3 linked regions of the Arabidopsis thaliana genome follow. The protein of the gene in region 2 interacts with the protein of the main gene of each other region in a pairwise test. Each region holds a gene or a part of one and is shown on either strand. Other genes may lie near its edges. The genes, in order: PDX1.1, PDX2 and RSR4.

Region 1 (3,809 bases), on a different chromosome or scaffold from region 2:
ACTCTACAAATTAAATACTAACCGATGGATATATCAATGTGTAGATACTTAGCAATGGAATTTACAAAAGCGTGGAACATCAAGTGATCGTTAATTCCGGTATGGAACGAGTCTCTTTGGCATTCTTCTATAACCCGAGAAGTGATATCCCGGTTGGACCAATCGAAGAACTAGTAACTGCAAACCGACCTGCTCTTTATAAACCAATCAGGTTCGACGAGTACCGTTCTCTGATAAGGCAAAAGGGTCCTTGTGGAAAAAACCAAGTCGACTCACTGTTATTAACTAGATAATAATTGATAAACATTCCAAGTATTATCTGTTATTCCTATGTCCTTGATATAGTCGTTACTAAATAATATGTAAACCGTATCTTCACTTTTTCTTATTATATTGCTGCTCTCTCTTGAGGTTTGATATTGTTAATTTCACATAGTTTAGTTGTAGAATTTGCCATTAATCCAATGAAATTATGGTTGGCCACACTAGCCAACAAAACTCCTCATTTCCAATTTTTTTCTATAAAATCTTGAATAAATCGAGAATATTGGTTTGTGGATACATATTAAAGTGACAAACGTTATGGATAAAAACATCTGAAATTTGATTGGTTACTCAGAACGACTAGCGAACCTCTCAACCTTATCATCCAAATTAAGACCAACCATGGCTTCACCTAAACCACAGCTCACCTCCGCCAACACCGCCGCGTCTCTATAATTCGTAACCGCCTGAACAATAGCCTTAGCCCTCTTCACCGGATCTCCACTCTTGAAAACACCCGACCCAACAAACACTCCATCACATCCCAACTGCATCATCAACGCCGCATCCGCCGGCGTCGCCACTCCTCCAGCAGCGAACTGAACCACCGGTAACCTCCCAAGCTCCTTAGTCTGCACAACCAAATCATACGGCGCAGCGATCTTTTTCGCGTAAGTGAAAACCTCGTCATCGTCCATGCTTCTAAGTAACCGAATAGCTCCGTTCACACTCCTCACGTGCCTAACGGCTTCAACAACGTTACCAGTTCCAGCCTCACCTTTGGTTCTTATCATGGCGGCTCCTTCACGGATCCGCCTTAAAGCTTCACCGAGATTCCTACATCCACAAACAAAAGGGATTTTGAAATTATGTTTGTTGATGTGATTATCTTCGTCGGCGAGAGTGAGAACTTCACTCTCGTCGACGTAATCAACTCCGATTGCTTCCAGGATCTGAGCTTCAACGAAATGACCAATTCTAGCTTTCGCCATCACCGGAATCGTCACGGCGTTTTTGATTTCTTTGATCATCTCTGGATCGCTCATTCGAGCAACACCGCCTTGAGCTCGAATATCGGCGGGAACACGTTCAAGAGCCATCACGGCGCATGCGCCAGCTTCTTCAGCGATTCGAGCTTGCTCTGCGTTGACGACATCCATGATTACACCGCCACGAAGCATCTGAGCGAGACCAACTTTCACGGAGAAGGGAGATTTCTGTTTCGTCTCCGTCATGGCTCCTTCGCCGTACACCGCCACAACTCCGGTTCCTGCCATTTTTTCTAGGGTTTTGAGAGAGTGTGGAGCAGAGGAGAGGGGATTTTATAGGACGCGATTTGAAATTTGTTTGTGGACTGTGAGCTGTTGGATTGAGAAAAGATAGTAAAAGTACGTGAATCGGACGGGTTTAGAGGAAGGAGCACGAGGATTGTGGTGGACGTGAGTGTAGAGAAGAGAAGCTACGTATGGAAACTTTGACCACAAGATTTGTTTCTTTTTGTTGTAAATGTATAGTCCCGAAGAGATTATTATCTTGTTGACGTGGAAGCTCATTTCCCTATACCATCGTGTGATGTCGAAGAACCACTGATTCGGATATGTTATGTGTGTAAGGGTGTTGTTCTTTTTTTATGGTATAAAATATGTGGAGAATTTGGAAAAGAATATTAAATTTAATAAAATAAATTACAGTCCTTAATTATTTAATCAATAATTTATACTCTTTCCATTTCACAATATACGTTGTTTTAAATAAAAATATGCAAATTAAAAATATTTATTTTTAAAAAGTTTAGCTAATCATAAAAGAGATTACATAATATAAATAATCAAAAAATATTAAAATAATATATTATTTACATAGAAAGTTAAAAACAACTTATGTTGTGAAACAAAAAAATTGGTCCAAAACTACTTATATTACGAAACGGAGGAAATATACAAAATCCGAATTTATTCAGAAATTAACAATTAATTTATGAAATCCTTAATTATCGATTCGGGTTTCGAACCATTTTGTGATGTGAGTCAACAAACAATGGTTCACTATATTGCCTACCCTATGGTAGTTAACCAATGATGTTGTCACAAAGATGGTTAAGAGATGAAACGAATTAATGCAAAGAAAGACCTGAGCCTTGTCAATATCAAATTATATGATTTTTATTAATGCTCTAACGATTCAACATCACATTGGACAGATAATGATACATCTTAAGCTGTATAGATTCGCTTCACATGTATCATTTTCTTTCGACATATTGGACACCTCCCCTTGGTTCTTTTTATCCTGCAAATATTGTCAAATCACAACGTTCAATATTTTAGATCAATCCCAATATGGTAAACACATTACCATTACAATTATGCAATCCAGAAGTTGTACTTAGTTGATAAAAAACTTACTTTGTTCCGCATTGGTAACAGGAGACGCAATGGCCACACGGGAGGAAACAACAATCTCTTGGAGCATCAAAACAAATGGCACAGAGACTTTTGTTACTTGCTTCGACATCATTACAACAATCATTGTCACCTTTGTCTGCAAGTAGACATGTTCTCACTGAATCATCTCCGGATAAAAATCCCTCTCCACCACAGCACTTTAACTTGTTGCAGAAGTGTATAGCTACCAGCATGAAGGAAAGCAACACACCTGCATACGCAATAATACTACATGTAATTGCTTCCTTGTTACAGAGAAACTAACAAATGCTCAAATCCAATAATCAAGTTGACTTTGAAAAGATTGAAAAGTTTACCTGTGAAGCTTCCATATGCAATCAATCTAGGTTGATATGACAACTCGATATACCATTCATCATCGATGGATACTCCCTAAGGCAGTGAGACAAACATTCATTCAGCTAAGAGTCATAATAATAATAACAGTAACAATATTGTTAGTGTTTCGTATTACGAGTACATACCTGACCCAGTGCTGGTGAAGTTACGACAGCATAATTTTCAACAGGGTACCTTTCATTCATTTTGAATGAGCACTCGCCATTGCTGAAGGAACAATTGTAGGATGTTTGTTTAGTATCATACAAGACAGCCTTCACATCAATATCCAGTTCCACCTGAACAAACATTATGTCAAGTAAAACAGTGTACTGTGGACTGTGCAGAAACACAACAGAAACCAAAACTTAATCCAAAGTCATAACTTGATTATAATTACCTCTATGTCCTTCCTCTTCAAGTTAGCCACAGTAAGATAATAACCTTTAGACTTACTTATATCCAATTGAATCATACCACTCCCTGTAAAGAACTTTTATTAACTCATGATAAGCAATGTAATCAATGCATCTTAAGCAGGAACTTCCATTTGACTAACCCTGAATTAGATTCCATGACCAAGCGGTGTCACGAAATGCAATATCCTTCAGCGACGACCGATAGAAGAATGGCATTCCTATAACTTGAGAGCCTTAACATAGTCAGTTTATATCCCTAAAAGGCAATACTTTCAAACAAAAAAAACTCACTAACATTAACACTTCTACTTCCTCTATTTCCTCTTACTTCACTCAAAGTTAT
Region 2 (4,331 bases):
CATTAGTTTCTCTCACTGGAATGTGTCTGCAGATTAATCCATTATCTAATCTATATTTCAAAATTTCCTCAGATCGTTTAGAGCGGCTCTTCTGCTCTACTTCTTCTTCATCTTCTTCTTCTTCTCCTCTTGCAGTGCTAGTTACATCACTATCACAGGAATGTGTATCATCATCGTAGGGCTTAGGCGATTGTTGGTTTCTACTACCAGAACTGCCAAAGCATCCAAAGCAACCGATGGTACGGGCAAACAAAAAACTATCACGAAACATGATCTCCTTCTCAAAAATAAAATAAAAAAACAAATTGCTCCTCAAATGTATGATGAAATATAAAATCCTCAAGTTAACTGAGGAACCTGCACACAAAAAAAAAAGTGACATCAACATTAAGCATCCAAATAATTAAACACAAGAACCTCTGTAGAAATCGAAATCTTACCCCGCGATAAAAGGGGTTTCGAGGGCTTCAAGCCCGGAGAACTTGACTATTCCAAAGGATGCCATTCAGCGAGATGAATAAGACAACTTGAGACATCATAACCACTGCAATCGAAACACGACATGTCTAAGACTGAAACCTTATAAATAAGTTATATTCCTTCTTCACGAGCAGAAAATCGTTGAATGCATAGCCCCAATTGTTAATAGCTACACAGCTTCAACAACCGCCAATAAATTCAAGTTGAACTACAATGCTTCTGCGAAAAAAGAAAAGGTCAAATTCTCATCAAATTCAAAAGCTTGTGTAGATAAGTCAATCACATTGTGGGTATTATGATTCAGGCGTAAAGGTGTAAACTTTTTCAATCCAAATAGTCAACTCTAAGCAAAGAAACAAAGACGGAGAGAAGAACAATAAAATTCTACAGCAAACTTAAGAACCCCCAAGAAGGTGGCTTCAAAATCACATAAATCACAAACCAAAATTTTGAAAATTGAAAAAAAAAAACCTAATTTCGAAATCGGATGCAATGGAAATTTCATGAGAAGATTCGGAACATAAACTGAAGGTAAGAGCGAGAATCATACATTAAAGCTGGTTGTGAATTCGATCGGAGCAGAGGAAGACAACAAGATCGCAAAGGAAAGAGCTCTCTCAACGTCGTGCGTGAGAGATTTAGACACACCAAAAAAAAAAGAGAGAGCTTCGAAGCCTTTGATCGAGATTCTCTCCCCCTTCTGTTTTTTTTTTTTTGGGGTTTATATTTTTTGTTTTGTCAATTACTTTTATAAAAAGTAGTTTTATATTAAATCATCACCAGCTAATGTGACAAAACATGCTATAAACTAAATTCAGTGGTTAGAAAACAATAAAATTACTACTAATAAAAAAAAACACATTATGAGTTTTTGAAAACCTACCTTTACTATAAGTTTTTTTTTGTGTGTATATATAATATTATATCATCATCTTTAAAATTTTGTAAAATAGATTACAATTTTTCCTAGAGAATTTGAATTATAATCACATAAAAGCTTAATAAGTGTATATTTTTGTTTTGTTAGCATAATTGTTTATGGCTTTTTAATTGAATTTGTTCACAATAGTTATTAATACCGTGATATCTTTATATTTAAAAATGTTATTATAAGAAAATATCTGAATAGAAATCCAAATCGTGGGCAAAGAAAGAAACACAAAACAAAATCGTCGATGGCTGTTACAAAAAGGCTTTTGTGAGTGTCCCAATTCCATTCACAAAGTTTTAGTGTTTAATAATATCTGACACTCTCTTTCTTTGACCGTCGCCGCCGCAATGACCGTCGGAGTTTTAGCTTTGCAAGGTTCTTTCAATGAGCACATCGCGGCTCTGCGGCGGCTCGGTGTCCAAGGCGTCGAGATTAGGAAGGCTGACCAGCTTCTCACCGTTTCTTCTCTTATCATTCCTGGCGGCGAGAGCACCACCATGGCCAAACTCGCCGAGTATCATAACTTGGTCCGCTCCTCTCTCTCTAGAATCTAAAGTTATTGTTTGCGAGGACCCACTTGAAGAAACTAGTTAAAGGTTCCTTTTTTATGTGTGTTTTGACACGAATCTGGCGTTATTCACCAAAATTCTCCAGAATTTCAGTCAAAACGTCTCTTATACCTGAATAATTCAGTTAGTACTGTTGAAAGTAATTAGCTTTGAGATTGAAAATGAAGGAACTTTGGGATTAGTTAGCCTTCAAGTACATGAAGTAATGTTTTGTATCTGAAACCTTTAAACATTGTGGACCAAACTACTCGTTGATCTTATGGATGATATTTTCTGTCTTTAATGGAAGCTGTGATAAGTGTAGGAAAGGGAGAGCTATCATTTACTTTTATCTTTACCAAACTCCTTGTTTAGATTTGGTTGTTTTTACAGTTTTAGTGGTGAGGACGAAGAATAGTGTAAAATGTCTCTTCTCTGTTCTAATTTTCTTTCATTTGTTGCTCTTTTGAAGTTTCCGGCTCTACGTGAGTTTGTTAAGATGGGGAAACCTGTTTGGGGGACATGCGCAGGTCTTATATTCTTGGCAGACAGAGCAGTTGGTGAGTACTTGAATTCATCTTCCTGTTGCGGAAAATTTAGAAACTTGAGTAAATGTTGAAATTTTAGGTCAGAAAGAGGGAGGTCAGGAATTAGTTGGTGGCCTTGATTGCACCGTACATAGGAACTTCTTCGGTAGCCAGGTTATGTCTCTTACCAAGATTCCGGGTTCATGTTAAGAAAATGTGTAAACACATATTTAAATCAATCTTGACTTGCAATATGTGGAAAAAGAAACTGCTTATATTAGCATGAGTTGTGGTGTACTGATATATAAAACTCGGTCTTTTCATGAATCAATGGGAGTAATTTCATATGGATTCTCATTCACTCTTAGTATCAAATAAGATGTTGTGAAAATCTTAGATTGTTCTCGAATTTGTTTTTGATGTGTAGATTCAAAGTTTTGAAGCTGATATCTTAGTACCTCAACTAACATCTCAAGAAGGTGGGCCAGAGACATACAGGGGAGTGTTCATACGTGCTCCAGCTGTTCTTGATGTAGGTCCTGATGTCGAAGTCCTGGCGGATTATCCCGTCCCATCAAACAAGGTCTTGTATTCAAGCTCCACCGTACAAATTCAAGAGGTTTGCTTAATTTTGCACTAATTTTCATGAAACGATTACTCTTTTGTGAGCACATGTATGAATCCCTTCTTGTTGGTTTCATTTTTTGGGGATAAATCAGGAAGATGCTCTTCCTGAAACAAAAGTCATTGTTGCTGTGAAGCAAGGAAACTTGTTAGCAACTGCTTTTCATCCCGAGCTTACTGCAGACACTCGATGGTAATTGATTAACATTTTCCCCGATCTTTTGATATTTGCAGCAATGATCTATATGGTCTGTTTTTACTCTTTCCGGTTTCATTTTTTTTGCAGGCACAGTTATTTCATAAAGATGACGAAAGAGATTGAGCAAGGAGCTTCTTCAAGCAGTAGTAAGACTATTGTATCTGTTGGAGAAACAAGTGCTGGTCCCGAGCCAGCTAAGCCTGATCTTCCTATATTTCAATAACTGAACAGAGAGAAGATACACACTTCTTAAAATAAAAACCAGAGAAAGTGTCAGATTCTTTATCTTTCTAAAGATGTTTTGGAAAAATTGCAAGCTAGTTTGCAATTTGCACTCAAGAAAGTTTCACAAGACTCTTTAATGGATTCATGTACTTGTTTCTTGATACAACTTTATATATACAGTTGAATCTCAAACTTTTTTGCTGATTCAATTTGGTCTATGTCTTGTGAAATGTGAAAGGTCGTTTGGCCAAGAATTAAGCTTTAGATAACTGTCAGCGTTTATAGGCAGAACAGAACATGCTCTGAAAGTATAACTCGGTAGGGTTTTGGTTCAATGGTTTAGAAGCTAACCCGGTTTATAGTAAACCAGTCAGCTGACTTTGACGCGTTTGACTTTTCATTGCTTTCTCGAAAGGGTGCAATCTTGTAGTAGTGGGCGGCTTTGGGCCAATGAAAGTCAAGAAAAGTTACTTAAAATGCACACATTTACAGATATGTTAAGACATGAGGGCTTTCTTCTTCATTTAAGGCATCCTCACGTTCTAGATACTCGTTTCCTTGCACATAAAGCCATCAAGAATTAATTTTGTTTTTCTTCAGAAAATAGAGAAAATTTTCAAATTTGTATATATAGTGTATAGAAAGATATACAGACCGGATTTTTCAAATTTATTGTATCGATAACCAAAATTTTCACCCTTTTTTATTATTTTTTGTCAACTAAATGAATACTAACTTCACCCTGTTTTCTCATAGTAAATTGCTAATATAATTCAACTGGGAACAAATGAAGCAAG
Region 3 (4,140 bases), about 24 Mb from region 2:
CGGAAAGACGAAAATGTCGTCGTTCTTCACAAAGATGATGGAAATGCCCTTCAGATTGTAAATGCGATCAGGGAAGAAGTCATCGGAGAAGAAGACATTGGAAAAGACGGAAATACCCTTATGGATCCGTTGTTGGAATTCGAGGAACGGTGTCCTCCGGGAGGAGAGGAATCCGTTGTTTTCTACACAACGACTCTTCGAGGAATCAGAAAAACGTTCGACGATTGCAACATGATCCGATTTCTGCTGGATAGTTTTAAGGTTAAGTACTACGAGAGAGATGTGTCGATGCATAGAGAGTATAGAGAAGAGCTCCGACGAATCTCAGCGGCGGAAACAGAGGTGTTGCCTCCGGTTCTGTTCGTAAAAGGAAGGTGTATCGGTGGAGCTCAGAGAGTGTTGGGACTGCACGAGCAAGGGAAGTTTAAGATTCTCTTTGAGGGCATTCCAATCACCGGAGATGAACGTTGCCGGCGGTGCGATGGTTTTAGGTTTTTGATGTGTGATGGATGCAGAGGTAGTCGCCGGATTATCTCTGGTGATGGATCAAGAATTCAGTGTTTGATATGTAATGAGAATGGGTTAATTGTGTGCGTTGGTTGCTCCTAATACCATTTTTTTTGTTTGGTCTATATATATCAAATTACATTATTCGTTTATTATTTTTCTTAGTATTGTAACGATTTTTTTATACAGAAAATAAATATGGTCATCAGTTATATCATATGGTTGTTTCTACACAAATCTCAAGTTATTATTGCCTTAAAAAAGAGTTTGAATTATTGACACGAATTGCACTAAATTTATAGCATTTGTTAATGTTTATAATTATATATGATGTGTATAAAGATTAACATACCGGTGTTAGTAGCAAAATTTTTGCAACATCCACTAAGATTGTCATCCATAAACTACATTTATTTGAGAATTTACCCTTATTATTTGATTTAATCATCGATCAACCACTTAACAAAACGTATTCACTAATTCGATGAATTGCCAAATACTTAAATATCTGAATGGTATAGTTACAGTGAAGTAGTCAAAAGAGCAAGTTGGGCCGCCAGGGTCGGCTGAGTGGACAAATCTACTGATTGCAAAGGAGAGGCGGGCCTTCCTTTTCAACCACAGCCGCCTATTTCTCTATTTACTTTTATCATCACAAACTGCTATTTTTAGATTTTCTTTTTAAGAGATTTTTTCCTTTATTTCAAATTTTTTTTTCTAGGATTATAAAACTTAACGTACTATTGTATAAAAATGAATTTCTCCTACTCCCAAATGTAGTATCTTAAAAATCCCATTCCAAAACGATTGGTTGTAAATTGTTTGATAAAGAAATATAAAGATGTTTGTTATGAAGAAAATGATGCTTTCCATAACATTTTTTCCAAAAGCGTGCAATTCATTTTCTGCTAACATTTTTTCTCCTTGTCTTTTATGCAACAATTAATGCGGACTAGAGCGACAGTCGTGGATTCTATGAGGTCCAGTTACATTTCTTTGTGTCAGAAGATTTTTTTCCAAAATTTTTTCCCTAAAATCTATTTAAAATAAGAAAAAATAAATTGTGAAAACGTTTTAAAACATCATTAACAATGCATTTAACACTTTTATAATCCAATTCCGGACGACTCATTTTTTCTTGTCAAAACCTCTAGTTTAGTTGGCTAAAATCTTAAAATGCAGTCCACTAAACATGTGTTAATCGAAAAATCGAAATTGTGTTTTAATCTTGACCGTCCGATCACAACAAAATCCCACACTTTCCCAAATAAAAATTAAAAATTCAATAATTAAGGAGTTTCTATTTAATTAATAAAAATAGAGAAAAACATCTATTTTATTATTTTAGCTTTTATTCACACCGCCACAAACTCTCACTATAAAGCCGATCCATAGATAAACGAGGACCGGCCAGAAATCGCTTCACCATTCCCAAATCTCTCTTCCATTTTCTCCACACAAATTTCTCTTCAATCTCCGATAATGGAAGGAACCGGCGTTGTGGCGGTGTACGGTAACGGTGCGATAACGGAGGCGAAGAAATCTCCCTTCTCCGTGAAGGTCGGTTTGGCTCAGATGCTCCGTGGTGGTGTTATCATGGATGTCGTCAACGCCGAGCAAGCTCGTATCGCCGAGGAGGCTGGTGCTTGCGCCGTCATGGCTTTGGAGCGTGTTCCTGCTGATATCCGCGCTCAAGGAGGCGTCGCTCGTATGAGCGATCCACAAATGATTAAAGAAATCAAACAAGCCGTTACGATTCCGGTGATGGCTAAGGCTAGGATTGGTCATTTCGTTGAAGCTCAGATCCTTGAAGCAATTGGAATCGATTACATCGATGAGAGCGAGGTTTTGACTCTTGCTGATGAAGATCATCACATCAACAAGCATAATTTCCGGATCCCGTTCGTTTGCGGTTGCCGGAATCTCGGCGAGGCTCTGAGGAGGATCCGTGAAGGTGCGGCGATGATTAGGACCAAAGGTGAAGCTGGAACCGGTAACATTATTGAAGCTGTGAGGCATGTGAGGTCTGTTAATGGTGACATTAGGGTTTTGCGAAACATGGATGATGATGAGGTTTTCACTTTCGCTAAGAAATTAGCCGCTCCGTACGATCTCGTGATGCAGACTAAGCAGCTTGGTCGTCTTCCTGTAGTCCAATTCGCCGCCGGTGGAGTGGCTACTCCGGCTGATGCAGCTCTCATGATGCAGCTTGGATGTGATGGTGTCTTTGTTGGTTCTGGTATCTTCAAGAGCGGTGACCCAGCTCGTCGTGCACGTGCCATTGTTCAGGCTGTGACTCATTACAGTGACCCTGAGATGCTTGTGGAGGTGAGCTGTGGGCTTGGAGAAGCCATGGTTGGGATCAATCTCAACGATGAGAAGGTTGAGAGGTTCGCTAATCGCTCCGAGTGATCAAAGAAATAAAAGGTAAAATATCTCAGACGAAATGGTTTCAGAATTTTCTCAGACCATTTTGCAGTAATCTCTTTGAAAAGAAGAAGATGATGATATTGTTGGTAGTTTGTATCCTTTGTGTTTTCCTTATAATCTTTGATAGTCTTTTGTTATTGTAACTCGTAATCCCTTTGCAAGAACAAGTTTGTCAGTTATAATAATGTACTACTCTCTTGATCGATCAGTTGGTTTTGAATCTGATATATTCTTCGATCCATTGGTATTGACCATTGAGCTTGTTGTTCAATTACATTTCAGACAGGCCTATTAGTACTTAGTAGTATCAGGTTGATAAACAAAGGATGAACTTGTTTAATTTGGGAATTCGTACACTGGTACTGAGCTCTGTAGATGTTTGAGACTTTGAGTATTGGATTTGGTTTTGAAGAACTGTCCTGGATTAGATTCACATAGCCTCTAGTTCTTATTTTAAATTTGTGATTTCAGGCATAGCTGTCAACCTAACAAAGGAAGATAATATGAGTTGAGTTTTCTTTGTTGTTAACGAGTACTAATCATCGATTTCATGATGTGTGGATTATGGTTTATGGGGGGTTCTTTGCAGCTATGTTTGCATTGTAAATTGGTTTTTATGAAATGCTATGTTAATGTGTGATTAGTAAAGGAGAAGAGTTCATGGGACTCTTCTAGCTTTTAAAATCCATAAGAGTCCTCTAGCTTTGAAAATCCATGGGACTCACTCTTCTAGCTTTGAAAATCCATGGGGCTCTTCTAGCTATGGGATTTCAGATCTCATGCGCGGTAGTAGCATACGATCATCGGAATCCATAGAGCTCTTTTGTTCAAAATCGAGTTCTTGAAGGTCTTACACGACACCATGACTTAGGGATACGAGTATATATCCCTTGACTTCAGCCTCTAAGCTCTTGGCTCTGCCGGATCCAATTTCTCCAAAGAGCATTACTTCAAAGTTCAAAAGGTTCTCACTACTAACAGGTTAATTTTGTTAACCGAGATCAACCAAAATCAAACAAAACTTAACCAAATTGTAAATGTGATTTGATTGCACATCACTCGCATTTTGTCCAAAAAGACTCCGGTAAGACCAGAAACACGGATACAATTTAAATATCAATCGAAATAGGCCCACATCGGCCCATTATTACTGCACATTGGCCTATTTAATCAATTCACTAACTATATGAGACTTATATAATA

The links.
Region 1: the proteins of PDX2 (region 2) and PDX1.1 interact in a two-hybrid assay, tested with the Arabidopsis thaliana proteins (one study listed by BioGRID).
Region 3: the proteins of PDX2 (region 2) and RSR4 interact in a two-hybrid assay, tested with the Arabidopsis thaliana proteins (one study listed by BioGRID).

The regions. Positions count from the first base shown.
Region 1 is NC_003071.7:16,009,207-16,013,015, reverse strand, and holds PDX1.1 (pyridoxine biosynthesis 1.1), read right to left. Parts: upstream 1,784-3,809; 5' UTR 1,542-1,783; coding exon 612-1,541; 3' UTR 501-611; downstream 1-500. Other genes in the region: AT2G38240 (2-oxoglutarate (2OG) and Fe(II)-dependent oxygenase superfamily protein), read left to right, coding at 45-293; APD3 (RING/U-box superfamily protein), read right to left, coding at 2,478-2,553, 2,670-2,919, 3,026-3,101, 3,194-3,346, 3,448-3,530, 3,607-3,699. UniProt on the Arabidopsis thaliana protein: Catalyzes the formation of pyridoxal 5'-phosphate from ribose 5-phosphate (RBP), glyceraldehyde 3-phosphate (G3P) and ammonia. The ammonia is provided by PDX2.
Region 2 is NC_003076.8:24,336,075-24,340,405, reverse strand, and holds PDX2 (pyridoxine biosynthesis 2), read left to right. Parts: upstream 1-1,603; 5' UTR 1,604-1,758; coding exon 1,759-1,938; intron 1,939-2,431; coding exon 2,432-2,519; intron 2,520-2,586; coding exon 2,587-2,660; intron 2,661-2,913; coding exon 2,914-3,105; intron 3,106-3,205; coding exon 3,206-3,303; intron 3,304-3,396; coding exon 3,397-3,532; 3' UTR 3,533-3,783; downstream 3,784-4,331. Other genes in the region: GRIK2 (geminivirus rep interacting kinase 2), read right to left, coding at 1-271. UniProt on the Arabidopsis thaliana protein: Catalyzes the hydrolysis of glutamine to glutamate and ammonia as part of the biosynthesis of pyridoxal 5'-phosphate. The resulting ammonia molecule is channeled to the active site of PDX1.
Region 3 is NC_003076.8:171,355-175,494, reverse strand, and holds RSR4 (Aldolase-type TIM barrel family protein), read left to right. Parts: upstream 1-1,831; 5' UTR 1,832-1,989; coding exon 1,990-2,919; 3' UTR 2,920-3,606; downstream 3,607-4,140. Other genes in the region: AT5G01420 (Glutaredoxin family protein), read left to right, coding at 1-609. UniProt on the Arabidopsis thaliana protein: Catalyzes the formation of pyridoxal 5'-phosphate from ribose 5-phosphate (RBP), glyceraldehyde 3-phosphate (G3P) and ammonia. The ammonia is provided by PDX2.